Arabidopsis thaliana: one gene and its partners. The protein of the gene in region 4 interacts with the protein of the main gene of each other region in a pairwise test. Each region holds a gene or a part of one and is shown on either strand. Other genes may lie near its edges.

What was found.
Region 1: the proteins of PRE5 (region 4) and SHP2 interact in a two-hybrid assay, tested with the Arabidopsis thaliana proteins (one large-scale study listed by BioGRID).
Region 2: the proteins of PRE5 (region 4) and AT4G30180 interact in a two-hybrid assay, tested with the Arabidopsis thaliana proteins (one large-scale study listed by BioGRID).
Region 3: the proteins of PRE5 (region 4) and IBH1 interact in a two-hybrid assay, tested with the Arabidopsis thaliana proteins (one large-scale study listed by BioGRID).

The regions. Positions count from the first base shown.
Region 1 is NC_003071.7:17,816,486-17,826,571, reverse strand, and holds SHP2 (K-box region and MADS-box transcription factor family protein), read right to left. Parts: upstream 6,318-10,086; 5' UTR 6,146-6,317; intron 5,986-6,145; 5' UTR 5,971-5,985; coding exon 5,744-5,970; intron 4,315-5,743; exon of another isoform or gene 3,688-4,314; coding exon 3,606-3,687; exon of another isoform or gene 3,486-3,605; coding exon 3,324-3,485; exon of another isoform or gene 3,236-3,323; coding exon 3,188-3,235; exon of another isoform or gene 3,084-3,187; coding exon 3,042-3,083; exon of another isoform or gene 2,952-3,041; coding exon 2,766-2,951; 3' UTR 2,559-2,765; downstream 1-2,558. Other genes in the region: PDF1 (protodermal factor 1), read left to right, coding at 1-245; HVA22F (HVA22-like protein F), read left to right, coding at 8,271-8,317, 8,416-8,442, 8,520-8,642, 8,734-8,986, 9,086-9,112. UniProt on the Arabidopsis thaliana protein: Probable transcription factor. Interacts genetically with TT16/AGL32 in a partially antagonistic manner during flower development. Is essential for the coordination of cell divisions in ovule, seed coat development and endosperm formation.
Region 2 is NC_003075.7:14,762,896-14,770,271, forward strand, and holds AT4G30180 (uncharacterized protein), read left to right. Parts: upstream 1-5,888; 5' UTR 5,889-6,132; coding exon 6,133-6,609; 3' UTR 6,610-6,876; downstream 6,877-7,376. Other genes in the region: AT4G30170 (Peroxidase family protein), read left to right, coding at 27-242, 398-586, 924-1,089, 1,181-1,587.
Region 3 is NC_003071.7:17,906,107-17,913,382, forward strand, and holds IBH1 (ILI1 binding bHLH 1), read left to right. Parts: upstream 1-2,900; 5' UTR 2,901-3,140; coding exon 3,141-3,611; 3' UTR 3,612-4,104; downstream 4,105-7,276. Other genes in the region: SPPL3 (SIGNAL PEPTIDE PEPTIDASE-LIKE 3), read right to left, coding at 5,127-5,236, 5,333-5,416, 5,608-5,678, 5,826-5,968, 6,307-6,399, 6,472-6,525, 6,729-6,885, 6,971-7,005 and 1 more.
Region 4 is NC_003074.8:10,852,799-10,860,180, forward strand, and holds PRE5 (basic helix-loop-helix (bHLH) DNA-binding family protein), read right to left. Parts: upstream 3,990-7,382; 5' UTR 3,516-3,989; coding exon 3,390-3,515; intron 3,136-3,389; coding exon 2,983-3,135; 3' UTR 2,825-2,982; downstream 1-2,824. UniProt on the Arabidopsis thaliana protein: Atypical and probable non DNA-binding bHLH transcription factor that integrates multiple signaling pathways to regulate cell elongation and plant development. May have a regulatory role in various aspects of gibberellin-dependent growth and development.

The DNA of each region.
Region 1 (10,086 bases), on a different chromosome or scaffold from region 4:
CAGGGTTTGATCCTCACATGAACCTTCTTCAGGCACTTTCCAACACCCGCTCTGATCCCATTGGTGCTCTCTACCGTGAAGGCACAGCTTCTTGGTTAAACTCCATGGTCAACCATAAGTTCCCTTTCACAACCCCTCAAGTTAGAGACCACTTTGTTGCAGGACTTTCCTCAAACAAGGCAGCCACAAAGCAGGCCCATACCTTCAAGCTTGCTAATGAAGGTCGTCTAAAGCCTAGAGTCTGAAGTTAAGAGAGTTTCATTTCTCAGTTTGTTTGTTGGTTTATATCAAAAACAATCTTAATTAATTATCTTGTCATTTGTGTTGCTCAGTAGAATTTGAAGTGTCCTATAGTCTCTAGTAATATTTATGATGGATACTTCCTTTTATTTAATGTTGTTGTTTCAAAAAATTTCTTGATCTTAAATAAGATTTAGTAGTTCCTCTGTTTCTCAATCACTGTTCAAGAATGTCCAAAGAAATGAATCATATGCAAGTTTAACCCGAACAAGAAACTATAGATAGGATCATAAAACATCAATATTGAAAGAGATAACAGATAATTTAATGTATAGACCAAGGTACAGAGAAGTCAAAGTCCAAATCTAGATTAACATGCTCACAGACCAACACATTGTCATAACTGTTGCATTAAATTGTTCATGAGCATTTTTAAAATCATGCCTAAGAGGTGTGTCTATAAAGTGAAAACAACTGGATTAAACTCCAAAAACGACAAGGGCAGGAGAAAGAGAGAGAAGGAGCAAACATTATAGCATTAAAGAAGGAAGGAGTACATATCAAAAGTGTGGTGTTAGTGTAATAAACTCTGTGGAGTAAATATTGCAAGATGGTCTCCATGCATTCAAGTTTCAAACCCCAAGTTCTACCCACCAATGAAAATATCTTTAATGACTCTCTCTATTGGTGTCTGGAATTGCATTCATGATATTAAGTTGGTGTGTCATGGTTATGGAAACACGACATCTTTGGAGGTTGAGAAATATCTCTATCCAAGTTTATCTTCACCCAAGGCTGTTATTTTTTCCTACTTTATGATCTTATGACTGATTCTAACTTTTTAATAATGTCAACAAAATCCATACGAAAAATAATACTAATCCAGAAGTAATCAAACTTTGATCCACTGAATCTGTTTTAGCCATGGAGAGCTTTTTCAGAAGTAATGAAACTTTGAAGTAATTTGAACGAGTAAACTTTTTGAAATTGTGATATATGCTTGTCATGATCAATGTGTGAACAGAGGATGATGATTTATTTGGTTTGTGATGATAGCATTAAGTAGATTTTCTCAAGTTCTAGCTCTGCAGTTATTTTTCTTCAAGAATTTCAACTTTTTTTCCTTGCTAAGTTGGATGCATCGATTGAATATTCTAGGCTTGATTTGTTCATCAGCATGTGGAATTTTCGGAACATAGCTCACTAAGTGGTTTCTTATCATTTTGAATTGAAAGTGTTCTGTTTTCACCTAATCACATTCTATGTTAAGGAAACTAAACTTATTTTTTGGAGACAGTCACCTCAGATTAAGACAGATGCCAGAACACATGTAGCAGTAAACAAAATTTAGCTATGAGAGTTTTCACTAAATCAAACTGATAGGATATGTAGCTTGTTTGGTTGCTCTCTTGCAGTAAAAGTTAGGTCAAGACACTATGACAGGTTTTGGCCGTTATACTATAAATCATGGTGAGAAATGCATGAATGTATTAAGTCTTGCAGAAAGCTTGGGAGGAGCTGCTGACAATGGAATTGAGGAAGAAAAGTCTCGTTGAATTCATTAGAAAATGGTACATCTCTTAGCTCCATTTGTTTTCAAATATCTTCTGCCATTTCTGTTGTTGCAGGTTTTCGACGCAGAATGAGAATGATTAAAGGTCAAGGGTTCTAAAATCCAAAAACATTATGACACAAAGTTCTACTAATAGTTCCATCTTATGATGCAGCATGATGTCCTTTCATAGTTTTAGGTACTGGTAAAGCTGTGGATGTAGAGACTATCAATTTCTCACATCAAGCTTCCTTCTTGATACAGTCTCATATACTGCAGAGTGTTAATACAGGAACTTCTACAAGCAGGATTTATTGCTGTTGAAGATCTTACACATCTTCTTGTCCCTCTATGACATGACGCTGGGACTAAGATCCTGATCCACTGAACTTTAGCAAGACTCTCAAATTCACAAGGGTTTTCATTTCAGTTGCCTTGTCTTAGTAAACCTGAGGTACCATCTACGATCTCTTTCTTGTAAATTTATGCATTACCTTAGAAAGTGAAAAATCCTGAGCTGATTTAGAAGGATAAAGAGACTATATCCTCTGCAGTTTGAAAACAAAAGGGGGAAAAAGGTTTGGCCTATATATATCGCTTATATCTTCCATGTCCATGATTTAGAATTTAGAAAGATCTTAATTAGATGTAACTTGGGATCTATCTATGCATATGCAGCTTTTGCATCTCAAACTGCATCTCAATAGTCTTGTTGAAATTGCATATGCTTTTTTTACGTCACATCAACACATTTTGATTTGAATATGCAACACTAACTAGCAATAAATCCCATTTTATTTTTGGATCTCTTGTCTTAGCCTTAACTTACATAATCAAGATATATGTAAATTATTAGGTCCCTCTCAAATCGTTACCATCTGCATTTTAAGTTTTTTGACAGTAAGTGTAACATGAATATATATATGCATAAGATCGATCTCAGGCTGAGGAAAGAAGCTTATGTTAGACTGAATCAAACAAGTTGCAGAGGTGGTTGGTCTTGGTTGGAGGAATTCTGATTCGGTTCAAGAAGGTTAACCGCAATATAATTCCGGTTATACTGCCCCGACTGGTGAGAAGAAGTAACACCCGACTCGTAAACTGTCCCTTGATGTATCACACTCGATTCTTGTTGCTGTAGACCTGTTCTTTCAGTAATCTGCAGAGATATTTAGAATTTGCACATCAAGAGATTGTCTACCGGAAAAAAATGATGATCAAAAATGCCAAAAAGAGTTATGTATAAAACCTTGGAGCGGAGATACATGTTATCGTTTTGCAGCTCGATTTCCTACAATGCAAGCGACAACAGAAAATAAAAAAAGATGATCATCAGAAAGAGAAGTTGCTAATAAAGTAGGGGGTAAGTTACTTGTGAAGGAAGATAGGTTTTACTTTTACCCTTTTTTGCATGTATTCAATCTCTGCAACTAACATCTCGTGCTGGAGAGAAAAACCAAATATAACGGGCAAGAATCAGATGGATATATATTCAATGATAAGGAGATTGATGGAGAGTTAGTGATTGTACCTTCTTGGATCGGACACGACTGATTCCTTTCTCAAGCCTACTTTCAAGGTTCTTGAGTTCCTTAAAGTTCAAGGAACCAAGAGATTCACCAAGAATGTGTCTGTTCAAATTCTGAATGTCCCGAATCTGTCTCCGGAGTTTAGACGCCTCTTGCTGATAGTACTTCATCAATTTCGATCCCATCATTGTTACAAGAGGTGAAAAAAAGGTCAGATAACTAAAAGAAGAAGAAATTAAGTAATTAACGAACTAGCTAGCTAGGTGTATTAATTAAAAGCTAACCTGAGTATTAGCTTCGGTGATGGTCGGAGGGTTAACGGCGTCGGAGCAAGCTTTCTTGTACCTTTCTATTGTTCCTCTCACACTTCATCAACATTCACACAAAGGAAAAGATTTTAAAATGCAATCTTTTTTGTGGTAGCTATATATGTAAATAGATGCAATCGGTGAAAATCTCAAACTTAAACCACCACAAGTAAAACAAAGACACACGAAACTATAACTGTTGGATTCAAACACTAAAACCAGAAGAGAAAAAAATATATATATATGAAGTCGTTAAAGAAATTGATATTTTTATCTTCTGGATATACAAAACACACAGAAAGACGGATATTAAGGTTTTGAAAATAAAGTTTTGTCCGCCCAAAACCTTAAATTCAACCGACAAAATAGTGAATGGACCAGTACCATATAGTATATGATTTGTTTGCCCTTCTTTTTTTGGGATATTATTGTTATTGCCTATTATCTATTAACAGTGACATCTCACAAAGTTATATATATATATATATATGTATAATCAAAGTTCGAGAAGACCCTAATGTGTACTTCCCCAAAAAAGTGTAATCCTAATTTGAAAACATACAAAAGAAAGAAGTAGCAAATCGGAGAAGAAAATAAAAAGAATTTGAATTGCATATGCTCTTAGTTAATTGGAATTGGTCCCAATTTATGTACGACACAAAATCCAAATTATATTTTAGGCTAGTATATATTTTGGCCTAATTAGATTAAAAAATTCACTACTAGGCTTTAAGAAAAAGAAGTGATTTTCAGGTCAAGTCAATAGATTCCCTACTCTAGAAGCTAATTTTGCTTCTTCATTTGTTTTTCCTGAATTAATATTTGAACATTACATTTACATGCATATGTGGCTGAGGCAAGTATGTTTTTACCAAGAACATGATATTTGTAAATCTTTTGCAAAACAGAAAAAGAAAAGCTAGAAATCTTTGCATAACGTTATGCTTTCATATTCATATACAAGTAATTTACATTGTGCTGTTGTATAATGGAAAGCTGAAGTTGAGAAATGTCAAAAGTAAGATACTACTAAAGCATGAGGGTGTTTGAAATAAGAAAGTTAACTACACTTTTGATAATAGAAACATATATATATCACATGTTTCTACATACATAATGCATTCCTCTTTTGTTAATCAAATTAGTCATGTCCATTATAAACTTCAGATCAGTTCTTTAGTCGTTGTGAAAGTTCACATTGAAACTACAAATTTACTAGTTTTAACTTAGATCCATGATATGAGACTTGACTTATAGATTATAGTCATACATCAACCTCAATTATAGTATTAACTAGCCAAGCAAATAAAAACAATATTTTTGAAAACATTTATCTTTAAAAAGCAGACAAATAATCAAAATGGTGAAATGAACATGAGCTGTTAATAGCTGGAAACGTATAGAAAAACGGAAATGACAAGTCCCCAACTTGAAGTGGAGAAAATAACAATCAAAAATCAAAATTTTCTGTTTCGTTATTTTTCTTGATTGATGGATCGGATGATTAATTAAGTGACTCAACAATAAGCTTTGTCCCTGATTCATTTTCTTGATTTAACAAAAGGATTCACCAAAAGATTAGAGAAGTGTCAGAAGACAAACACCTACTAGTCTCTCCCTAGTGAATCAATTTTGAAGGAATCTACATAGCTTTTTTATATAGCCAAATAATATATATTATTATAATTTTATCAAGAACCCTACTTTTTCATTACTATGATGGAAACCTAATGATCAATCTGCAGAAATAAAACTTGATGGGTCATCAAATTGATCGAAGTGTCTTGTACAAACTGACATAAATAGATACATATATAGATACTGTTATAAGGATTTGTGGAGAAAAAGTGACTGGAACAAGGTATGGGGGATGCTAATTAATGATCAGAGAAGACCCTCACTGCTTTTTTACTAAGAGAAAGAAGTTAAAGTAGGGTTCCCTAGTTTTAAACAAACCCTAATTTTGGGGATTTTTAAAGAGATTTGAGCTTCAGAGAAACTAAGGAAAAAAACTATAAAGAGACCATAAAGATTGAAAAACCCACCAGAAGAGTCGAAACTTTATTCTAGAAAAAAAATTCAAGAAAATCAAGATCTAGCTAAAAGATGTGTACCTGTTGTTGGCGTACTCGTAGAGACGGCCTCGAGTGGAGAAGATGACAAGAGCAACCTCAGCGTCACACAAGACAGAGAGCTCATAAGCTTTCTTGAGTAAACCATTGCGTCGTTTGCAGAAAGTGACTTGACGATTCGTAGTGTTCTCTATCCTCTTTATCTCTATCTTCCCTCTCCCTATCTTCTTGCTGCTCTCTGCTACTTCATTACTCGCACCACCCTCCATTTCTATAAGCCCTAGCTGAAGTATAAACACAAGAGAAATAGATCAAATCCTTTTGCACTCAAACACCTTGGATTAAAAGAAATGGTTTATAAGGATTAACTGAAGAACCCTAATAATTTGATTGGAGAAAAGGAAGAAACTTTTAAAAAAAAGTGTAAATCATCAATAACCATACCTGGCTTAGCAAGATTAATTATGATCAGAAAGAAAGAGAAGTGAGGATGGGAAGATGAATTATGAGAGAGTTAATTTGTTCATTGGCCTAAAGATACTATTCTTATTATCTCAGTACCACTTAACTGCTGCTTCAACTTTATTTTTTGTTTTTGGTTTCTGTTTTGGTTTATAATTTCTTTTAGAGGAATATTTCTTTGGAAGTATTTAAAAACCCATTTGCAGAAAACAGAAGGTTTGGTAGTTTTTTTTCAAACTGAAGTGTTATAGAAGGAAAAAGAAAGAAAGAACATGGACCATTACTTCTAACATTTTCTCAAATATCACACACCTAATTCTTTTAATTAAATTCTATATGCATACATTTAGATTGAAATTTGAAATTGATTGGAATTAAGTGGTAGAAAATATCAAATTAGAAAGAAGAAAAAAGAAAGAAAGAAGACAGTTGGGTTTGGATTGGGTGGGGAGAGAGCATTGAAGGAGGACCATCCAATTTTTCTTTCATGTTTAGAGGAAAAAAGAGAGGTATGGGCTCTGTTTCTCATCAGAATCACCTTTTGGAAACTTTCCTTTTTTGGTAATCCCTTTTTATTCTCCTTTTCTTTTTATTGCCCTACTCCTATATACATTGCATGTCGTTAATATTTACCTGGCATTTTATATATAAAAAAAATATTTCCAATTAAACCAATATTTAGCTAATATGCTAAGAATTTGGGTGGTTTATATGAGTGTTCGTCGTCAACGTTAGAATGGGGTTATATGAATATGAGTGTTATAACTTGTCAACTACCAAGCGAGACAATGAATAAGATTTCAGTGTTCTTGCCAATTAAAAAAAACTGTAAATAGTATATATTATTATTTGGTTGTGTTCAGAAATGGCAATTTAAGAGTATATATTATAACTGGTTTAGTTTTTCCAAAATTCTTATGTTCAAGTCTTAATCTTGGACATTAGGTTAGTCCAACGGCAATTTGAATATTTATTTTGATAATTAATTACATCATATTACGTAATTTAGACAAAAGAACTACATCATATATGCGACAATATAATTAGAGAAGATGAAACTAATAAAGTAAATGAAAGCAGAGAGCCCACGGGGAATGACTAATCATGTGTGTAGTCATTATCCATGAACCCTTTCTCAGATTTGCATTAATTAATTGTAGTTACGAAAGGAAACTCTTTTGTGTTTTGCCCATTCCTCATCATTTTCATTGTACTTCTATTCAATTTTCTTAACGAGCAACACACATTTTCACATTCATGTCGAATTAATTAAGTTGGAAATTCTGCAAAATCATTTCAAGAAAGAACTTGATGAGAGCTGGTAGGTCTTTTGATTGACTTTCGTGGTCTATATTCTCAATATATAGTATATGCTTTGAAAGTTGAATATGCACTAGTTCTTGTTGTGTTAAGAGTTAATTAGCGTGAAGTAATATAATTCTCATATCGAGTGTTTAATTTACTAGCTTTATGACAAAATAATCATAATCAAATAGAATACTAATGAAGAAAAAGGTAATATATATATGTAAGAAAGATGAATTATGTAAAGATTGCTTTTACTAGCCCTGTGACAAAAAATGTTAAATCTTTATCAAATTGAACGATGATTGATAATTGAAATTTAATTTTAATGAAAAGAAGTAGTATATAAATGGGTAAGAAAGAGAGATTTCCAAATTAAAGGACAGGTGATTTTTACTCAAGTATCATAATCAAATTGTGTATACGTCCAATCTCATTAATTAGTGCATAAGTTATTGATCACTAACTCTTGTGAAAAAGAAAAGAATCTTTTGTTTTGACGAAAACATATTCCAAATACCATTCATAGGGATACTAAACCCAAGACTTTGGATTTCCCTTCATCAGAAATTTTCCAACGTTTACTTTGAGATATTTTTTTTCTTCTTAGAACATATAATAAATAGGTTCATGAAAACGTAACAATGCGTTGGAGATTCTTTACCTGGCTTGTTGCCTTAACTCCCACAAAGATTCTTTTGCTTGAAGAAATTTCAAGCTTTTGTGTATATATCCAACGTCACAGTGCTAAAGACGTTTGAGAAAGTTTCTGTTGAAAGAAGAGTAAAAACTCAAAAAGAAAATGGGTTTCATTATTGCGATTGCAAAACGTTTTGATGCTCTAGTTGGGTAGGATTTTATTCAAATTCTGTCTCATATAATAAAAATAAACACTATATTTGTCAAATTTTTAACATTATTTTCTTCCTTTTTCTTGTTGCATGCAGGCCTGGAGTCATGCTTCTCTATCCTCTGTAAGTGATATCAAATCTGAATTTAAATGTTTGGTTTTTACAAATGCAACTTGATAGTTAACTGAATAAATGATTAGGTATGCATCATTTCGAGCAATAGAGAGTCCAACAATGTTAGATGATCAACAATGGCTTACATATTGGATCATTTACTCTTTAATAACGATATTCGAGCTATCCGTTTGGAGAGTCCTTGCCTGGTAATTACAATATTATTCACTAAATTCTGTTACGAATTCAAAAATTTATGCCTATAAAGACAAAAAAATGGTGTTCTTTTGCATATTGTAGGCTACCATTTTGGCCATACTTGAAGCTTTTGTTCTGTATGTGGTTGGTGCTACCAATGTTCAGTGGTGCAGCTTACATTTACTCCAATTTTGTTAGACAATACGTCAAAATTGGGATGAATGTTGGAGGAGGAACGAATTATACAGACGAACAAAGAAGAGTTTTACAGATGATGAGTCTTGATGCTAGAAAATCGGTTCAAGACTACGTTGACCGGTTTGGATGGGATTCTGTTGAGAAAGCAATCAAAGCGGTATATGATTTCTCTTGTTGATCTTTAATATAGTTATGTATATATAATCCAATACATATATTCTGGGAGTTTAACTTCATTATTTGTGTTCAAATGTAGGCTGAAAAAGAAACTAGAAAGCATTGAGATGGAAGATCAAGAGTCAAGAAAAACATTACTCTTTGGTTTGTACATGTATGTACATAGATTGTATAGAGCAATACTATAATGAAAAAGATATATATGTTTGAAAGATTTATGGTGACAAATTTGTGTTCTAGTACTCTATGACCAAAGATACTATTAGAGAAGCCAGTCCAACTCTTTTTGACAACATACATTTGGATGGGTCTCAATTTGATTAAACAAAACATCAGGACACGATTCGAATTAAAATGAGAATACAACACTCTTTTTGACATAAAAATAAAAATAAAATTCAAGCTCGCGCTATATCACAATTGGTGTTTTGCTAATTTCCTAAATCTAATTTTATTCTAATTTAATTATGTAAAATAATAAAATCACATCTTTGGAAGTTTTTAAATGTAATTCATATAACGACAAAAAAAATGTAATTCATATGACGTAAAAAAAATGTGATTAATTTTGTTAGGGTCATTAATCTATATTCTATACTTTAATACTCTGAGATCCGTGATTATTATTATTTGTCCATCTCTATCCACAAACCATACATAAAAAATTGATATATGACGTCAGAAAAAGATAATACAAGTCTACATATCTCTTCGTCCATTTATTTAATTTAATTGGTAAAGAATTGAGTGCGCAAAATTAATAATTTCCAATTTATCAAAAAAAAACACATTAATAATTTTATTTTTTATTTTGTTCAACTTAAAAAAAGAAAAGAACACACATTAATAATTTCCAAAAACCCCTCTTTTCTCATAGATTGAAGCGTATACTCTAATTTGACCAATCTAATCTAGGGTTTCTAGTCACTTGAAGCTTCTCTTAAAAAACCTGTCTCACTCCTCGTCAACCTCTTCCTCTCCCGCTGTCGCCAAGATTGAATCTTTTTTCAGGTTTGAATCTATCTTTAGAGTAATGAGTTTCTCTGATTTCCCGACAAAACATGTCTTAAACGCTGGCTT
Region 2 (7,376 bases), on a different chromosome or scaffold from region 4:
GATTAGAACATTGAATTGAATTAGCCATGGAGAAGAATACTTCTCAAACCATCTTCTCCAACTTTTTTCTTCTCCTTCTCCTTTCTTCATGTGTCTCTGCTCAGCTCCGGACAGGTTTCTACCAGAACTCATGTCCGAACGTGGAAACCATTGTACGTAACGCTGTCCGTCAGAAATTCCAGCAGACTTTCGTTACCGCTCCGGCCACTCTTCGCCTCTTCTTCCACGATTGCTTCGTTCGTGTACGTTACAATTTTCTTTTGATATTTTCGTACAATATAAGAAGTTTATTTCTGATCGAAATGTATCCCCAAAACATCTAGATTTAGAGTTTACGATGTTTATCTTCTATGTATCATTTTCAAATAAAACATTATCTTTACGTATGAATGTATAGGGATGTGATGCGTCAATAATGATAGCATCACCATCGGAGAGAGACCATCCAGATGACATGTCATTGGCCGGAGACGGATTCGACACGGTGGTGAAGGCGAAGCAAGCCGTTGATAGCAATCCCAATTGCCGCAACAAAGTCTCATGTGCTGACATTTTGGCTCTCGCCACTCGTGAAGTCGTCGTTTTGGTACACTAATATATATATATATATATATATATATATATATATATATATATATATTTTACATCACTTAGTTATTCCTCTATTATTCCTTTAATACATATTATATAATGTCCGAGGTATTGAAAATTCGTTTTTTCTACAGTATATATCGTTTTCAGTTTTCTTGTGCGAAAAAGCTAATCATATCATTAAATATAATACAAGTACAAGTAACAACTACACAGTGACACTTTTTATTGGCGGTTTGTAATTTAAGACAAGTACAAGTAACAACTACACAGGTCATATAGTAATCTGATCAGATAATAACAATAGTAATCTGACTAAATAAAAATTGCAGACCGGAGGACCAAGCTACCCGGTGGAGCTAGGGAGGAGAGATGGCAGAATCTCCACGAAGGCCAGCGTTCAAAGCCAATTGCCTCAGCCCGAGTTTAACCTAAACCAGCTCAACGGCATGTTTAGCCGTCACGGCCTCTCTCAAACCGATATGATTGCCCTCTCAGGTACCAAAACCGAACTTAACCTATTATATTTTTCTACTTTAACCAAATTCTTATGGTATAGTATTAATGTTATTGTGACGTTATAATTCAGGAGCACACACTATAGGATTTGCACATTGTGGAAAAATGTCAAAGAGAATATACAATTTTAGCCCTACAACACGTATCGACCCGAGTATAAACCGTGGATACGTGGTTCAGCTTAAGCAAATGTGCCCGATCGGTGTCGACGTAAGAATCGCAATCAACATGGATCCGACCAGTCCACGTACTTTCGATAATGCTTATTTCAAGAATCTCCAACAAGGAAAGGGTTTGTTCACGTCAGATCAAATCTTGTTCACAGATCAACGGTCAAGATCTACAGTTAATTCGTTTGCCAATAGTGAAGGAGCTTTTAGACAAGCTTTCATCACAGCGATCACGAAGTTAGGTCGGGTTGGTGTTTTGACTGGTAATGCTGGTGAGATTCGAAGGGATTGTTCACGTGTCAATTAGTGTGATTTGAGGTTTTCTTTCTTTTATTCCTTAAAGAGGATTTTTTTTTTTAATAATAAAATTTAATTTCTTGTTGTCAAAATAAGGAGTTCATAAGTGTGAAACATGGAAACTTAAATTAATAAGATGGGTTTATTTCGTTGACAAAAAAAAAAAAAGATGGGTTTATTTCGTTTCTCTCTTCTCCTTTTTATGGTATTCCAGGGAGGATACAAAATATCAAAGTAGAGATCTTGGATAGATTTATTACTGTTAAAGATAACTGGAGAACAAACAACTTTTTTTTTTTTTTTTGTAAACAACAAACAATTCATTTTATTGCAAAATTTATAAAAGATTTGAAACGAGAAACATTACCAATTTATTCTTGACAAAGTTATCAAATATCTATATCTTCACCGCTAAAATCTTTCCATTCGACTATAATCCTCAATCCTCTTTATGCATAATTGCTATTGTTAACTTGGGCTACACTTGGAGTCTGGACTTGCTGATTTGTTGCATTTGTAATGGAGAGGCCCATTATTCTGACCCAATCTAAAAGTTCTAACAACTGCAGCTTTCTTCTTCTTCTTCTGCTTAATTTTTCTTTATTTACGACCAATGTTTTCAAACTCGAAACGATTTGGCTAGTCAGAATGGAGAGGCCCATTATCCTCGTTAACTTGGTAAGTTTGTGACTTTGGTAAACTTAAATGATTTATTTAGATAAATGATCATAAATGTTAATATATAAATTATCAATGATAAAGCTGTAACTTCAAGCCTTCAGATTTTTTTTACGTTTTGAGCAAAATACCCTTAGCATTTCGTATAATCATATGTTAAACAGCGTGGTATCACTATAAGATCAAACCAAATAATCAAATTGCATATAATCATTATTAATTTTTTTTATTTTTATTTTTAATTGTATATTATTTCTCTAAGCAACATGTTATATATTTTGTCTAAAACTGTTTCATGAGTAAACTAGTATGTCGTTTTGAGTGTCTACCATGTTTGTTTTCTTTCTTAAATCTCTTAACATGTATTTATAGTTATTTACTTGATTTAATACTTATTTGGTTATAGTTTTGAAAAACCTTGTCAAGCCTACTTGCATGTGGACCAATGGACCGACCAAACAAAAGAAAAGTTTTTGTTTCTTTAACGCATAGAACCCAATAATCTCATTCTCATATTTATTTTGGTCGTCGTACACTTTTGAGTTCCTTTTTTGGCAAAACAATAAAATTTCATGTTCCTTTTTTACTAAATGTTAAGTTAAAAGAGCTATTTGAAAAACAAAATAAAATGCAGAAAAAAAAAGGATGTGAAGGAGGATGCGACTCGTAGTTGCAATTTCCACCAGATACAAGGAAATCTTTACTGCGTTTCCCCTGTCCCATTCTTAGTTTTTTATTACATTATTTGTACAACACAATAGTTTAATTTATATAAAGATTCCTGCCAAATAGTTTGACATTATGATATGCGTCCTTCGTTTTTAATTATTTCTGAACATTATGTTAAATGCCCTTCGTTCTTGTTTAAATCTTATATATATGAATGTTTTATTAACAAGCCAACAAAAATAAACGTGTGTGTTACATAATAATACCTAGAGAGCTAGACATTAAAAAACCTCTATACGTATATGGATGAAACAAATGATACAGATTGTTAAGCCATTTAGAAAATCCGTGGAAGTGCAAAATGGTTGAAAATGGGTGCTGGATTATGTTTATTTTTTGGTCTTAATCGAGAAAAATATAATAGTTATCTTGTATTTTATTCGTATGAAGTCTCTTTTACTATATTATCATCATATCATGGTGGATTATACATTTTTAAATATATTTAAGGGAACTAAGCATAAGTGATATGTTAAACCTCGATCCTTTTTAAAGTAACTTTTTATCTATCCTCTAAATTTTACGTAATGCTAAAATTTTGATCACGAAGACAGGACATTACATATGAGATATATAGCCATATAGGCAGTGTTCTTTTCTACTCTCAATAAACGAAGATGTTGTAGAAAGAAATGTTAAAGTGAGTGCACGTGGAGACATTTGCGAAGAAAATAGCTCCAAATTAAGAATACAAACAAAACACTCGAATTCAAACCCACATGAGATGTGTCCCTCCCAAATCCCAATCCAAGCCATATCTTTTTCTCCTCTATCTGGGTCCGCTTCTCATATTATTGTTGCTTACACCTTTTTAATTCAGTTTAACTATTTCTTTTTAAAAAACTTATATAAAGAAGAGAAAACAAAATTTAAGAACAGCACAAACAAGTCATAACATGCCATCTACAATATTCGATAGAAATCTCCACAGACCTTGTACAATTCATTCTGACAGTTTTGTACGATTTCTTTGTGGTTCATACTGCAGACAAAATAGTTCTATACTATTTTAATATTATTGGCATTAGTTGGTTGTATTCATTATTGTTCCTTTATATATCTTTTTACGTAAAGATACTGTTGAATAATTACGAATCTGGTTTTACCTAGCTTGATTGTGTGATTGGAAAGAGTTACATTTAATTCGGTCATTTTTTCAACGTGGATTGTCAAAGGTGGAAAACCATTAAGCAAAATTCCAAGAAACTTTTATGATTATATGCATTATTGTTCAATGTCTACTATAGGTGTGAATGTCTAGTATCTATTTTGGTATCCACATCTATTAGTTTGCATCTCAATTTCTTTCTCCTCTTAGATTATATATATATATATATATATATCCAATATATATATATATATTATTTCGTTTGTTTTTAACTAGAAAATTCCTCTACCTTTATGTACTTTTATCTACTTGTATTTAGTAAAGTTTATAGATTAATTAATTTCATCTAGATGGGTTACCATTAACACATGTTTTCCACATTCAATCAAAGGTTATGGGATTGCATTAAAATATAATACGAGAAAACATCACATTCTAACAAAAAAAAAGATTATTTACAAAAGAGAAATAAAATTTCCTTGCTGCATTGATTGATAATCTACTAACCCTTGACTTTTTTTGTGTGGTAGGATAAAGAACACAACAAAACCAATAAGAGATCATTCAGTTTTGGCTATTAACAACAAAAGCTAGTAACGTGTATATTGCATGTATCAAACACTATAAGATTAAGAGACAACTTGTAATGTCTCAACCGCCCATGTTTAGTAGTTATAGATATTGTTTGGACATTTTATTGTTATTATTATTATTATTATTATTATATATATATATATATATATATATCTAAATGATTCGGTATATATTTTAAAAAATAAAAATAAAATAACAAATGAGTAACACCCAGACTTTCATATCATATCAAAGGTGACCTTTTGTGTCAACATAAACTATATTTATCTATTTACAAATCCTATAGGAAAAATTAAAGTCATCTTTAAACCTGGAATGCAATGATGCTTAGAATCAAAAAATCACGACTAAAAGTCCTTGACAAATAAAACGTATTAATAACCCAATTACTGACCACATGCATCTTAACTTTATGTTAATATGCGTAGTAAAGAAACTTGTATCTACGTCATATTAGTTACAGTGGCAGTAAAATTCAGTTTCAAAGATGTTTGTCTTGATATGTTGTACAGATCACCAATTGAACTACCACTAATAATAACTAAATTTCTGTTTAGCAAGTTACCATCTGTATCCAAATATCGCAAAAGTAGTGGGTAGTGAAACCCAAATTCATCACACATGCAGCATAAAAAAAAAGAAGGTCAAATGGTATATATAATATGAGGGAGATCTATATTAAGATAATATGGGTAGAAATGACATAGATTGATCAAACTAATTAGGAGATTGGTCCAAGGACACATACACATGCATACATGTATTATGTATATACAAAGTGTGTGAGTGAGTGAGTGAGAGAGAGAGAGGTTAAGAGGAAGGAACATGTGAAAGCATTAAGAGAAGGTGGGGTTTTGTATTGATGTCTTGTTCTTGGAATGGAGCCACATGGTAAAAGGGTCTCTCAAAGCACCTCTTTAGGGGTAGTTGTGATGCAGCCAAATTAGAGCTCTTGCATGTGACTCCATGTGTTTTTTCTTCCCTCACCCATTATTATTCCCAAATTCTTCTTTTCTTATTTTTCTCTCTTTATTTATGTATATATATATATATATATATATATATACACACTCTCTTTTTGTTTTCGTGTATTTTCTAAAAATAAATGTATTATACAAAAAAACATATATTAGTTGATGATATTCAAATTCCGTTGTTTTTAAAATATTTGTCTAAAAAAGAAAACTACTAACTACGACTTTCAAATAGTCTTGTGTTTTGTACGTGAACGAAAAATAATAACACTCCCAAACATATTACCTCATATATGTATACAAAGAAAATTAAGTTCTACAACTTTACTTTATACATCATCAACGCTTGTTATATACAAACAAACGTAGGACACCGCTCTTCTCTTTCTTTGTCTCTCTCATATTCTAAGTTTGCTATATATGTAACTTTCTCCCTTGTAGACTTTCATTTGCAGCAAAAATAGTTTCTCATATGGAGAGGCAAATCATAAACAGGAAGAAACGAGTGTTTTCTCTTGAACCAAACAAGAACCCTAGTGCAGTTTTCACGAGAAAATACACAAGCCACTTGGTTCCTGCACTCAAGAAGCTCAACATGAACAAGAACTCTTCAAAACAAACCGTGAAGCATGAAGTAGATATGGCTTTGGCTTTGTCTGCTCAAGAATTTGCATGGAGCCGTTTCTTGCTGCAGAAGCTATCGTCCTCATCGAATCCAACCACTACCACTAGTTCTTCTTCCGATGGAATTCGGATTCTTGAAAGACCCGATAAAGAAGGCGGAAACGAAGAAGGAGGGATAGAGGAGAGACTGAGGGAATTGAAGAAGCTTTTGCCAGGTGGGGAAGAGATGAATGTGGAAGAAATGTTGAGTGAGATTGGTAACTACATTAAATGTCTTGAGTTGCAGACGATTGCTCTCAAGTCCATTGTTCAAGATAGTACTTGACTTTTAGTTTAAGTGTATAATTTATAGTTTGTTTCATGTTTTTTTTGTTGTCTTTAAACGAAAATCATCTGTGTTTTTTTTTTTCTCTTGATTTCTTTAAGAACAAGAGCATGTATTATAGTGTTTTTCTTTTTTCCTTTTCTTAATTAATCATGGTTACCGAAATACCTAAAGTACCACACATGGCCGTTTATACGTACATCTTATAAAATTCGATCAAAATCTGATTGAAATTTAAATTATTGGTTGTAATGCCAAATAGACGATGTGCTGCCTAAAATAAAACTCTTATGTTGTCTTTTTTTCCTGAATTTATTATTTTAATGTTATGAGCAAATCTCCAAACTTTAATATTCTAATCATTTTAACCTGACAAACTTTGTGTTTGTGTATATATTTATATTCCTGCAAGTTTTTTTTCTCCTTTAGCGAAAACATATGAACTTTCGACTACAAAAAATCAGATGTAACAAATCTTCAATTAAATAAAAGCTACACATTAGTAGAGATCACCAATATGTTCCAGCTGCAGTAACTACAGGTGCACCATTAAAATGTAAACAAAAATTAGGACTACTGGACTAGAATTACTTTCCAAAAAATTCGATGAATATGAAAAACAAAACGCCGAAATTGTAAATATCTAAAAAGGAGGAAAGTTGGATGACATATGTGTAAACTATGAAAGTCATAACATTGATTTGAAGTCATCATCCATATCTTTGCACGTGTCTCACAGTCACTCGCACGCATCCAAATCTCTCTAT
Region 3 (7,276 bases), on a different chromosome or scaffold from region 4:
TAGTGATAAATAATTGAAAGCTTAACATATGAAAATAATTAAAAGAGATAGTTAATTAGGAAGTGGTCTTCGTTTTGAGTATTAAAATCTTGCCTCTCTAACAATAGGCAAGATTGGCCCACTTTTTCTATTTCACGGTTCTGTTTTTTAACTCAATATTTGCATGTACGTGTGTATGCGTATGTGTACATTAAATTTATCCCACGTGCAACCCTTTTGTCTCTGTCCGTTTATTTTATTCCTCAGTTTTATTAACCAACCAAATCGTTTTTGTGTTACGCGTAACTTACGGTCTATAATTATTTTAGACCGAGAGTCTGAATATGTTTAACTAATTAGATCTTTCCTACTGTCGATTTTAATATGACATGGTCTTCTCTTTTAAGAATTTAAATTACCGAAAATTGATCTTCAATCCGTTTTACATGGACTTCTCTATGATGATATTTGAACAATATGTCTGTACTACAACAAACATAGTTAAAGATATTTGTAACATCTATTTAGGCTATCGTAATTCGTAACTGGTTTTGTTATATAAGACATTTTCAATGAGTTTATTATATATGCTTTTGCATAAAGTTACAAACACTATATATGCTTGAGTCATGGTTTGCTTCGTGACTCGTCGTCGTCGATCGCATAAATTATCTTTGAGGTTTAAATAAAAAATGAAAGAAAATGAGCGCCGTCATGTTATCCACCGGAGAAAGTAAAACGGAGCCACGTCAACAGTTACGGAGCAAAGTCGCCGACAGTTGTAACGTCAAGCTTAATCAGCCGTCTTCATTTTGAACATAACGTAATAAAACAACCAAACACTCTTTTTTCCTCTTTAACAACAAAAGAGGCGTCAGTGCTTACGTGGCTTTTCACACGTTCTGATTTTCAACATTTTGTAAATCATTATTACTAAATGACCAATAGCATTTATTCTTTTGTTTTTGTTTTACATTTTTAGTTGGGATATTTTAATCAACTAGTATGATAAAGTTTATTCGCCCCCAACGACTTATTATTAAATTAAGAAGAGAATCAAAGAAAACGAATGGTGTAGTTAATATTAATTGAATAATTAGAACAAAAAAAAATTAAAGATAAAGATAAGAGAGAAAGGAAAGTGGAGGTGGGTAAAGGCCATAGCCATGTGCCTTCATGTGGTGGTTGGCCCATTAGTGGACCTACTCTACCACTTCTTCAACTCTTTTTTAGTTCTTATTATATGATTAACACCTTCTTATTCATTTGGTTTCACTCCTAATATCAACAATTTTGTAAATTGTTATTGACCCGAAATTGTTAATCTTTAAACGTATTTTTATGATAGATGTGAAATTTGAAACCTTAGAGAAAACAGTGAGATTTAAGGGATTTTGGAGCTGAATCTTGAAAAAAGATAAATATGATCATGATGATGTTATACAAAAGAATTAAATGGCGTGAAAAATACGTCCGGCGGCAAAGCGGTAGGGGAGAGAGTGATTAACACAAAAGAGATGGGACTAATGCTAAATTATAGCCTTAACCAAACACTTATCGTATTCCTCAAGTCTCTCTTCTCTTCTTTTATATTTTCATGTGTTGTCTTTTCTAAATTGGTTAGTAATATTTGGTGTATATAAATTGTAACGTCATCTATTGGTCAAGCCAATTGAATAATCTCATATTTTGTTGTTGCTCTCTTGCATGGTGAATACTTTGTTATATATCTGATCAATTTTAAACACGTTTTATCTTGATGATGCGAGTGGCTAATTGATTAAGTTTATTAACACTTTATATCGTCGAAATAATCATAGTTATTCTCAGGTTCAATGGTGTTACTTTCTAAACTAACGTATAGTTCAAACTCAGTTTCGAATAAACATCCTCAATCAGTCGTTTCACGAGAGTTGGATTTTGGCTGAATTTTGTTTGTGGAAGTAAATATCGAGCAAGTAATGAATCAATTAAATTGATATTTTGGGTTTTGTTATTTCTTTTGCCTTGAAAATGAGCTTATATGTTTTCCACAATCGATCATATTCCATCTTAATCGTCATTAGTTGTCAACTAATGTTAACATAAATACATACATATATGTATATAGCTTACCTAATTTTATCATAATAGTCTCTATTAGCTGTTCACGTTAATGAATTCATACGCATTCGTCACTAAATTAACCTTTTATAAAAACAAACAAATAAACATAATAGTGTGGTTGGAATCTAATTCCATAATCTGATGTCTGCTCTAAATTGCTCTTTTTTCCGTTAATACCAAGCTATGAACCAAACGAGCTTGATTAATTTGCGTCTAGTACTTAAACATCATCCGAATTATTATTTTGTTTTAGCTAAGATGTATACGAGCATTAATGCTATATATATTGTATTTGGGTGTAGTATACATTAATATTTCAAATTTCAAAATAGTCAAATATATATACCCAAAATAGCCAAGTTCTGTTAATCTATTGGCATCAACTTTTTTCTTCAAGCTCCAAAACATCGTTTTCCACTAATTGCCCATTTATTTATTCAAGACTTTATAACACTAGGTGTAAATTATACTTTTCCGAAATACATGGGTTATACAATTCACATTTCATTTTAAAATTCTAACACATAATGATATATTTACACATCTAAGTAGCCACCAGTAAGCAATCGATGTCAAACCACTAAACCATAACAGACGAATCTACAAAAAATTTGAACTAATATTAGTAAACCCCCAAAGTTAAACATAGAACTGTATTTATTTGCTGTTCACCATTGAAGAAAACTGCCACTTATAACTTCATATTCTCATATTTTTACGCAACGTAACTTTGACGGACCAATTAAGCTCCAAAATTCAATATTTCAAAGCTATTAACACATCTTTTTTTTTTTAGAACATGAGTTATAAATAGTTGAACCTATAGTTTAAATTTAAACTTTATAGAGAATTTGAATAGTTGTGTGTCTTGTGACATAAAAAAACATAAAGAAAAGTTAAGTACAAGGAAAAATAAACATTATTTATTCCTCTCTATCTCTCTCTCTCTCTCCACCTTTCCATTTATATTAACCCTAATATTGTGTCATTCTCAAAAAAAAAAAAGTTTTATAAAGGTTCTCAACTCAAGTTCTCTTCTCTAAAAAACCCAAACAATGGCCTCTGCAGACAAACTCATAAACACAGATGTCCCTGAAAAGGACGTTTTTGCCTTCCACTTCCTCCAATCCCTCTCAAATCTCAGAAAACAAAACCCTTTTGATACTCCGGACCAAAAAAACTACCGCGTGAGGAAGATCAAGAAGGCTGCGTACGTTTCCATGGCCAGAGCAGCCGGAGGGAGTAGCCGGCTATGGAGCAGAGCCCTCTTGCGTAGAGCAGACAAAGATGACAACAAGATCGTAAGATTTTCAAGGAGGAAGTGGAAGATATCATCAAAACGGAGGAGGAGTAACCAGAGAGCTCCGGTGGTGGAGGAGGCGGCGGAGAGGCTGAGGAATCTTGTTCCGGGAGGCGGAGGAATGGAGACGTCAAAGCTGATGGAAGAGACGGCTCATTACATCAAGTGCCTTAGTATGCAGGTCAAGGTCATGCAGTGTCTCGTTGATGGCTTATCTCCCAAATGATCATCAATTAATCATCAACATCATCATCAATGATCGATGTATATAGAGATACGACACATACATAGTCTATTGGATTGGGGTAATCATAACGAATATATATGTGTATATATATATATATATATATATATATATTCTTATATATATACATACGTGTAAGATAGGATACATATATGAAATGTGTGGATATGTATTAGTCTCGAAGTAACGAAAGATTTTTTTCTTTTTCTTTTCTTGAATTTTGATAAAAGGGGATTTATTATTTATCATATGCTATGGCCGGTTTAAACATTAGGGCTTGGTAACTTGCCCTTGTCATATGATAAAAGGGGATTTATTACTTATCATATGCTAAGAGAATTTTCTTTCTTCTTTTCTTTTAAGCTATGCAATTTACTTGGTTCCTCTTGATTGTGTTATTCGTCAATGATGTTTCTATGGATGGATTATATATATAAAGTTATAACATATTAGTTATAAGAAAATTATAGCGGAATTATAACTATCATAAAATATACATTCTGTATTTATATATCTCCTATACATATACGACTGTTTATGTTTTTGAGAAAATATATGATAAATCTAATAATTTTAAAAATATATATTTATAGAATTATGAATCATTTAATTAAATGATTTTTTTTTGTTTAACACGGAGTTACTTGAATAAGTCTTAAAAATACTTGACATTATATAGGTTAAAGAATTTTGTAGAATATATATAATTTAACTCCTTTTTTGTTTTGTATAACTCTTTTTTCAGGTAAGAGAGATTTTTTTTTTTGTATAACTCTAACATTTCATGATTTATGTCGGATTGAATTCAAATGGTCGCTCACAACAACATTATTAACAAAAATTACAAGACTCTGATTACTTGTTTTCTTTATAATCACATTTTCCGTTGGAAGGATTATCTACACGTCTTATTTATGCAGTTGGTCATACTTATATTTCATACGAGTGTCCTACTTTAATTTGTCAATTATTATACACGTGTACGTAAACAGACAAATTGGTCAATTCCACATATTTCACATCAAATATCTGATTCGTGCATTCGTTTTCGTCAGAATTTCATTCCATCAGTCGAATAATATTTGAACAAACTTTCAAGTTTTATGGAATTTTCAAAGACTTATTTTTCCCAAAAAAGAAAACACACAAAGATTAACAAAAGGGAATTTGCATTATACTTGAAATTCTACAAAAACGAGTCTGAATTCAAGAGAAGGTTAATATAGACTCTGTACAACATGTCATGAGTCTTACTAGAGAACCTTTCTTTCTTCTCCCCCAAAACAAGGAAAAAAAAACGATATAATACAGTACTTTCCGATGTGTCTTGAATTACTTTTGGTATCCGATTAACTTTGGCTTTGCAGAGAACTTACATCATCAGCTTTTGTGTACCTCTCACATATGAAATCTGCTTAAGCTATGCTCGATGTTTTGGGGAAAAGCTAATTCAGTTTGATTGATAACACATCATTAGAATATTGTTGAATCATGTTATTATGCCACAGGCATTGGATCCTCCGGTGTGTGAGACTCTGATTCTTCGATACCGTAATTCCATAGTTCTTTAAGCTCTCCTCTTACCAACCCCAGTATGACGGCCAAACCTACAGAGAGAAAACACATCAGGTTTTGTTTGAGAACGATGGAGAGGAGTGTTCAAAAACAGATGGAGGAAAGGGAACTCAAGCTTCTGGTTTTACCGAGTGTGCAGGGTACGATGTACAATAGTGCCGGCTGGCCATGTCCGTCCATAAGATACAGACCTAGGTATGTCAGTAATAGACCTACAAAACAGAACAGGAAGAAACAATGTTTCTGTTAAGTTCCAAGACTGTGAATGTGAGAAGCCATCTCGATTAGCAAGCTATGTTATTTTATAGTCGGAAAATATAAAATAATTGAGATCATTTACTCTGTTGTATAAGCTATGTAACGCCATTAATGTTCACAGAGTTAGTAATGCGTGGACACTTACCTATTCCATAGCCGATAGTCAACCAGAGGAAGTACCCATTTGATATTACCCTCTTTTTTATCTTGTCATATCTGAGATCAAAGAGTGGAGCAAGTATTAATCGTGGGAGAGGATTGGATGAGAGAATCGTTGAGAAAGACACTCTGGAGAAAGTATGGGCAAAGATGGAATTCCAAGTTGTTCTTTGAAGCTCTAAGAATGTCACTGACTAAAAGTACCTGGAAGCAAAGGAAATGAGCAAACCGGGGAAGAGGATGTCCCCAAAACCAATCATGTCATAACCACCCCAAGGATCAAAGAACCGAGGAATCCTTAGTAGCATCGGAATGGACTCCCCAGTGCTGCTGTCTCCTTGGGCAACCTACAAAGAAGGGAGTTTCAAATAAGAATATACTGGCTGAGCTTCTCTGGGCCCTTCAATTACTCAATTATCACAATCGACTACTATTCAAAGTTATTGAGTTATAAAGTTACTTGTGTAAGCTGTTGACAAAACGACAAAGATACTACAGCCCTACCATAACAAATTTATGTGTCACAAAACAAACTTCAATGATACCTTCCGAAACAGCATATTTTTTTGGTCAGAATTGCAGAAACGAAACAAATCACATAACTAGCCCCTTTCTAAGCCTAACCTGGATAAACTGAGTGTAGCAATAGAAATGATAAATTTTCGACTTTGTAAGAGATACTCACCACAATCATAACACTCTCGTGAAATATCAATGGAGATATGAAGACCCAGAAAATGTCATAGACAAATGCGCAGCAAAGAAGTACAGTCGCAACCTGGAGTACAGACCATTATAAGCATAACAGAGAACAATCATAATTCACTACACAGCAAACTAGATAAAATACCTTGATGTTAGGTAATCGAACCACTTGCAAGGCAGTGATCATCAAACATATGCCCTGTCAACAAGATGACAATAAATATTTCACTAAGTGCAGCCCAAGGAACCAAAACTTCTCAACATGACCTCTTCCTTTATGGAAAGAGTGGAATATGAAACTAAATTAACAAAAATAGCAGAAGCGGTGATAAGAGAAATAATGAGAGGAAATGGTATCTAGATGCATGTAGTGACGAAGAAAAAGAGAGCTATGGGAGTTACCAAAATGTCTTGGCCAACCCAAGAATACGATGTGTGACGTTTTATAAACCAGAAAACAGCAAACGCCAAACAAACAATATTCACCAAAAGCGACAACACTGACATTGTTCCAAGCAAAGGGAGCTTCACAGATTTCCGAGCAAGATGTCTGCATTTTCTGCAGGCGGAACAAACATATATCTGTTAAGAGATGTTGACCAGAAAAAGAGAGAAGTGAAATAATCAGGAATATTTCAGAATACCTCAATATAACAGCCATAATGATGTTGTGCATACCCTGAAAACAACAGCCACTGCGTTAAATTGACGGAAAAAGCACATATACATTTAATCTAAATTCTAGACAGGTTCAAAACCGCCGGATGTTAATGAAATTACCTGCATGCCGCCAATGCAGAAAAATATGGTGAGCACCCATACAAACCATGATGACATGAAGTAGAAAAGGAGCAGCAGAAATATGGAGGCTGTTACAATAAAAAATACAGCACCAGTGACACTTATATCAAGGATTTCCTTCTCTGGGTCATCTTTTCTGGTCCCAGCAC
Region 4 (7,382 bases):
TTGATGAAGAACTAAATTAAGAATACTTCTTCATAAATAGAGTGCTACCGCACATAACAACTCCTAACAAAACTTTTAGTGCATTTGCATTATAAGATATTTAGTGTTTGTTTTAGAATACCAAAATACAGTAATTAAGAGTCGACATCGACACCGAGATAGAAATGACTTTTCTTTTCTACTACATCGAAGTATTTAATCATATATTGTAATGTTGAACGAATTTTGTAAAAGAAAGCTTCTCTAAGTAATTTTTTGTCTATACCAAAACTAATGGAAAGGAAGACTTATTTACTTCAAAATGCTTTTATTTTAGTTAATTTGGTTCATAGAAACTAAGGCTTTAAAAAAAACCTAAAGATAGAGAACCAAACCTTATTATAAATTAAGAATTACAAGAATTACATATAGGTTTTCACAAATGCATCTCTTTTGGAATCCTTAAACTACTTGATGAGACTATTCACACTTGACCAAAGTTCATGTGATTATCGTAGAAGAAGAATCAAGACTTTAAGAAGGGATTACCAAAGGCTTTTTATAATTAATCAAAATAAACCAGCAGAAAAAAAGATGAACAAAGTTAAGAAAAAACTTTAGATTCAGAAAAATCGTAATATTACATACATCTGCGGTTAGAATACATAGAATATTTATATACAAAAGAGTCGATGTCGTAGAAGATAAAAATGGAAAGTTTACAAAATCAGAACTGATCGGTTACAATGCGTCTTTTAGACTGATCAGTTTTGCGCTGTAATCAAAGCAATCAACCAATCAGTAGTTCAGTACAAAACATACATGATAACTGATTGGTACAATCCCATGACCGATCAGTTGGATAAGTTAGTTCGTCATAAGATTGCTGAATCTCCTGACATGATTTTTGAGGGTTATAAGGAGAGAATTATTGTGAGATCAAGAGCATCAAGATTCTTAGAACCATGTGTTACAAAGGCTTCCTTTACAAGGTATGTGGAAAAAGTTATTAAAGATGGAAAGATGGAGAAATTCTCTTGGAAAAGTTGATGAGTGTCCAATATGTTGTGCAAACTTAAAGGCATAACGCAAATGAGGGGAACATCTTTAGGGTCAATAATAATGTTGGTCAAATCCATTTTTCATGAATTTGTCTAGTTATCAATCAAGTTGTTCAGAAGAAGAGATGGGTTATAATTATAACCTTTGTTTAAAGCTGGCCACAAATATTTAGCAGGAATCCAGGGGTCATTCCATATTGAAATTGACTCTATAGAACCAACTTTTTTAATAAGTTCTTAACTAGAGGTCGAGCAGATAGAATACTCTCTCATCCATATAATCAAATTGGATCTAATTCGATCCATGGAATTTGATTTCCAAATATATCTTCCTTTAAAAACCTTAGAAAATAATAAATCAAAGATCACAATAATGCAGTATTAATGTCTTCCACAGTCTGAAAAGATATTCCATCTATCGATTTATTGCGACATAACTTATGCCTTGACATCAAGTGTATACTTTTTGATTTTCCATTTGAACTCCACCAAAATTTTGCTACCGCGCTGGTAAGTTTTGATGTGACCGAGTTTGATAAGTCTAAAACAAGACATCACATAAGTATGTAACGCAGCTTAATCATCACCTCTTTCTCACCTTTAGATAACAATTTTGATGACCATCAATTAATTCTATCATTTAAACGCTCTATGACAAAGGATAAATACTTATTCTTAGAGCCCCCTAAGTTTTCCAGTAGTCCCATATATGAACGTGAAAAATCTATAAAAAAAACGAACTTTTAAATTTGGAATGAAAAAACATGCATTTTCGAAATACCATTTAAATCACAAAGTTTTAGTTTGATTTATGATAAAATGATGAATTTTCGTTAACTTGACTATTTCGACAATGTCATTAAGTTTTCTTAACCAGACGATCACATAGTTAATTTTTCGTTAGAAGCCTATATAGACTTAGAACGACATAGTTTTGAAAGCTCGTAAATGACATCATTTCATTAGAAAATAGATGGAAAACCTACGAGAAAGCAAACTACTAACCTATTGGACTCATAAGAGACTCTCAATTGCTAAACTACGAAAATATCTTGGTATAATAGCAAATACTGCATACATATTTTGTTGGTGTAATAAGATTATTCTTTCCTAAATTATTAATGAAAACCTAAGACTTATGGAATACAGAAAATTAGTTATAAGACCTAAAATTTATATAATCCTTCTCATATATGAATCCTAAAATTTGTAGAATTCTTAATCCTATATTTATATGAGAATGATTGCATAAATTTTAGGTCTTATAACTAATTTTCTATATTCCATAAGTTGGCAGTCTGTTAAATCTCTGTAAACAATTTTTAGAAAATTATGAATCTTTCGTCAAAGCGAAAGGTCTTCATGGGACATTTCTAACATGTACACCAAAAAAAATCCAAAAAGATTAGTCGGGCATTCGTATACACACTCATGCTCATTAGCTTTCATAGATTAATTATCACCGTTAAATGTAGATACCTCTCATTACTTCGTCAACGTCATAGTCATTTATAGGAATGCAATAATTATGAGCCGGTGCTTACCCAACAAATACTATCCTCAATAATTTTATTAGAAACGGAAAAATGTATATCATTAATATTAGTTGATAACAAATTTCAAAATCGAAATATTTATCCAATTGTAACAAAAATAGTAACTGAAGGATTATTCATTATTTATTTCATTCGGCATTGTTTTTTATTTTTATATTTGACTAACACAATCAAGTTTAGACATCACAATGTCCATTATTTTTTAATAAATATCAGAAATTTAGGAGACTACTGACTAGAAATTAATGTAAATTTCTGTACCAAAATTCCAAAGTTCATAAAAGATAAAAGCACGTCGCTTGATATATAAAGGACGATAAAGATTACATATATAGATAAATTAATAAATACTATATTAAGAAGTTATAATAAAAAATATTGGAAGGTTACATGAGTAAGCTTCTAATCACGGCAGCTTCAGGGCTATCTTCATCAACAGAGTCAAGAAGCTGCGACAAACGATCACTGAGATTGTCAACTTCTCTATGCAATTTTCTTATGTAGTTGCATGTCTCTTGTAGTACCTTTGATGCTGACACCTATTTTGAACAAATAATAATGTTAGGATTCTACATTTTCAACAAACATCATCAAGAACATTAATATATATACACACATGTACGAACACCACATAAACAAGACTTTTTCGAAGTTCAAAAATGTTGTCAGGAGTCAAATGTTCCGACTTTTTTGGTTTCTTTTGTTTGATTTAAATGTAGACGAAAAGATCAGTTTTTTTTTTTTTTTTGTATATACATGAATGAGGTGAAATGAATGTATATATGTCGTATACCTTATCAGAACGACGCCGTTCGTGAATCTCCGGCAAAAACTGACGGAGCTTACTAACGAGGTCGATCATCTGGTCATCGGAGATCCTCGAAGCATTCGAAGTTTGTCTTGATCTTCTGTTAGACATTTTCTTGTTTTTACTTTGTGATTAGGTGTAACACTACAATGCCGCAAGAAAATAACCTTTATGTTGTATGCTTTCTCTCTTTTCTAGATTAGATAATAGAGAAGAGATTGAGAGAGAAGGGTTTGTTATTAAGAAGAGAGTTTTAAAAAAAAAAAAGTGAGAGAAGTTATGTAGAAGGTTTGTGTTTATTCTACAGGTTTTATATTTGTGTTGAAGAGGTGTGAAAGAAAGAAAAAGAAGAGCAACGAAAAGAGAAGAGAAGAGAAAATTGTAAGAAAGTGTTTCGGGTAATAGAGACACTTCGAGATATAAAGAAAATGAGAAAGTGATAAGAGAGATTTAAAGAGGTCAAGGACCACAAGGGAGAGAGGGAAGAGATCAATAAACCTAGACAATGATGTAATGGGAGAGAAAGAGATTTGAATCTTTGATAAAACCTCAAACAAAATTTGTTTAAATAAAATTATATTTTTCTTTATCTCATCTACATAGAGTAACATAGATTAGAAATGAATATTTATAATAAAAAGTACTCACTAATTTAAAGGAAAACTTATATAGCTTTATCATATATTATTAACTTTTAAAAACTATTTGTATGGATATAAATCAAAATTTATTTTGTAAAACTAGTAAAAGATTAATAATTGAAAGAATTGTATATAATATAGTTATGCTGAATAATGGACGAGGATTTTGGACATTTTAATGGAGAAATAGATGAAAAAGCTGAATGTTCCCAAAGCTGGTGTTGAAGTTGAAGTGGGATTTAAGAGAAGTGTTCCATGTTGAGCTAACAATGTGGCCCTTTATGTGCATGTCACTAAAAGGCAATACCATGTGATGACCTTGACTTTCTATTTTCATTTCATTACTATTTACGATATTATCCCACCTTGGATCCATAGAATTATAGAAAGATCTAGAATTGATCTAGGAAGTTTGTGGTTGATCCGAAATTGAACATAACTTTCCATTCAAGATTATAGACCTAACTTCCTGTCATGTATGATATGTCACAAGAACACATATGTAGTAATCCAAATCAATTTAGATGAACTGGTTTAGTTAAATTAGTGTGTTCACATGGCTTAAAACTTATTACACATAGCTTGTAGTAGCACAAATAATTTTGAATCAATGTGTTGATATTCCTTATTGAATCTATATAGACCGCAAAAAAAAAGGAAAAAAAAATAAAGCAGCGTGGACTTTGATTCGGTCTTGCAATGGATTACCCAAAAAAAGTAGTCATGATAAGTTCGTCTGCTTCCTAATTTAACTCCTATGTTTCGGAAGCTTGAGAGATTTAGTATACTTGATGTTTAATGGCATATATCATATATGTCCCATATGGTTGCTTCAGATCTCAGATTATGCCTCCTTAGATTCTAAATCATGATTACCACGGGGACACAAGGTACTTAATTATGTCCTTTATTTGTGTGCATTGTTTGCATAACATACAAAAGTGTCAGTAAATTAGGAAAAGTCTACTAATTAATTGGTATTAAATCTAATCAACTGAACCATGTTTTCTCCTCCAACTTCCAAGCTAATAGGAAAATATATACCAGGACTTATAATTAAAAATCTAAACTTAATTAAGGAGAAGTTCTGTAATTATTAATACCTAATTTTTTTTTATGATTTAGAAACTTAAAACAAAATTTACATGTAGAGCAATAGATGGAGGCGAACATATTAATAGCTTATTTTCTACAATACACATACATCGGATTTGAATCCAAATTGTGATAAGAGAAAAAGATATAAATCAAAATGTTCATACTAATTATTTCGTTTTTATTTATTTCTCGTCCTTTATGGGGACATCTAAGTATGTGATTGTTACAGCTTTGTTTGCCTTAGCTTCGCATCACATTAATTAAATTTGTAATATGGTTGTTTTATCCTCTATTTGAATGAAATGCTTTTAGTGTTAAACACATTTCAATTAGCTAAACATAAACAAATAGTTATAGACTAATTGTACTGTTTTATTGATCACTGAACCCGGGAAATTTACATTTTGGTGACTAGAATATTGAAATACATTGAAGGTAATGAGTAAAATAAATTTAGTTATTACAAAATATGCTAAACAAGTAGTGCAAAGTGAACAGAGTAATGGTAACCATAATAATTAATAAGATTAAATACAATTAACAAAAAATGTATAAAATTTTGAGTGACCGTAACGTAAGCACGCATGTCTTTTGTTGTTTTGTTGTAATGAAGACAAATAAGACGTCTCAATTGAAGGCGTATAGCTAGGTTGAGAAAAGTACTCGACATATATACAATTGTCCATTAAACGTTATCTACATAATTATATTGTTAAACCATTCGTAATTATCAAGAACAATACTACATAGCATAAATGATACGTATTCATCATCATATTCGTTTCGTTTGCATATATAGATTATTGGTATTGTCTTTGTTTTTTTGCAAATTAGGAACTTTGCCTATGTGTTTTCTATTTCTGATCTTAGTTTTTGATTTTTTGATAGTCAAGTCTTTAGTCTATCTGCAATGTGAGTTTAAACTCATAATTTTACAAACGAAAGAAATATATTTCAACAAAATTAGTCATGTTTAAATTTGTCGTATTACTATAAGTTCTATCAAGAGAAAAGCCATGTAAAATTACGGTCTTTTATCCGCGCATTTTCAAAATTAAGATTAGCTCCGAATAGTTATTCTACACACAATGGAGCAGACAATGCGTACCAAAAATTATACCATGCATTTATAACGATATTGACGACAACATGAATTATTCACCATAAATATACATTAAAACGATGTGTATCCAACGTAGACATTAAAAGTCAAGAGCCCTTGTTTGAGAAGGTTCGTTCTCATATTCGGAAAGAAGCTAATCACTATGTTTTGGCTCTGTTTTTACCTTAAAACTCGGATTTGTTATGACAGATTTTTGCCATTATAACTTTTGGATTTGGTTTACGCAGCCATACTTGTGTTGACTCCACTTTTTTCTTGTTAATAAAAGTTTGCATTTTCAGTGAAAAATAGAAGAAGGAAAAAAATCAAGTATCTAACCAAAACTCCCTCTAATATTCTTAAGAAAAACAATGCACATTATAAGTATACATTATATATTACTGTAAATTAATAGCTAAGGGAGATGTAACATGTTAGTCCATGTGGGTTTCACGTACTGAATGTTAGGCCTCTTAGGCTCCACGATGTTTTTATGTCCAACGATCCCTTTTGATTTTTCCTATCAATTTTGGTCCATTCAAACATAATGTAACAAAATAAGATTATTCAAATTTAAGTTATTGATAAAATAATGAGAAAAGCAGCCTTATGCAATAATGCAATAATTGAATTTTCCGATATAACTATATACATGTTTTAATTTCTTTTTGTTTGAATAGTTGTAATTTTCGTGGTTAGGTTTACGCTGCGGAATCAACGTAGTTTAAGCAATACGATTTTACGAAAAATGCGTAATAATATACTATTATTCAGCATGCTATAATAGTGATTTCAACGAGTCATAATACGTCTTGACCTTTTTATAAGTAGAATACTGTATAAAAATATGCTTTTTTTCCTTGTTGAAGAAATAAAAATATGTATGCGTTGCAAACAAAAAAAGTTTGTTTTAAAGAAAGGGAAAATTATGCCCCGACAAATTACTTAATGATGTTTAAGCACACTTCATCTACCTTTGCTTTGCGCTCAACAAAATACTGATTGATCAATTTACCAATTAATAATTGTTATAACTCCTACACTATCTTCCTTTTACCAACGTCGAATGTAAAACATTTTATGATATAATTAAAAGGGGGAGAGTATACCGTAAATGTATGTTGCAGTTTGGTCTCG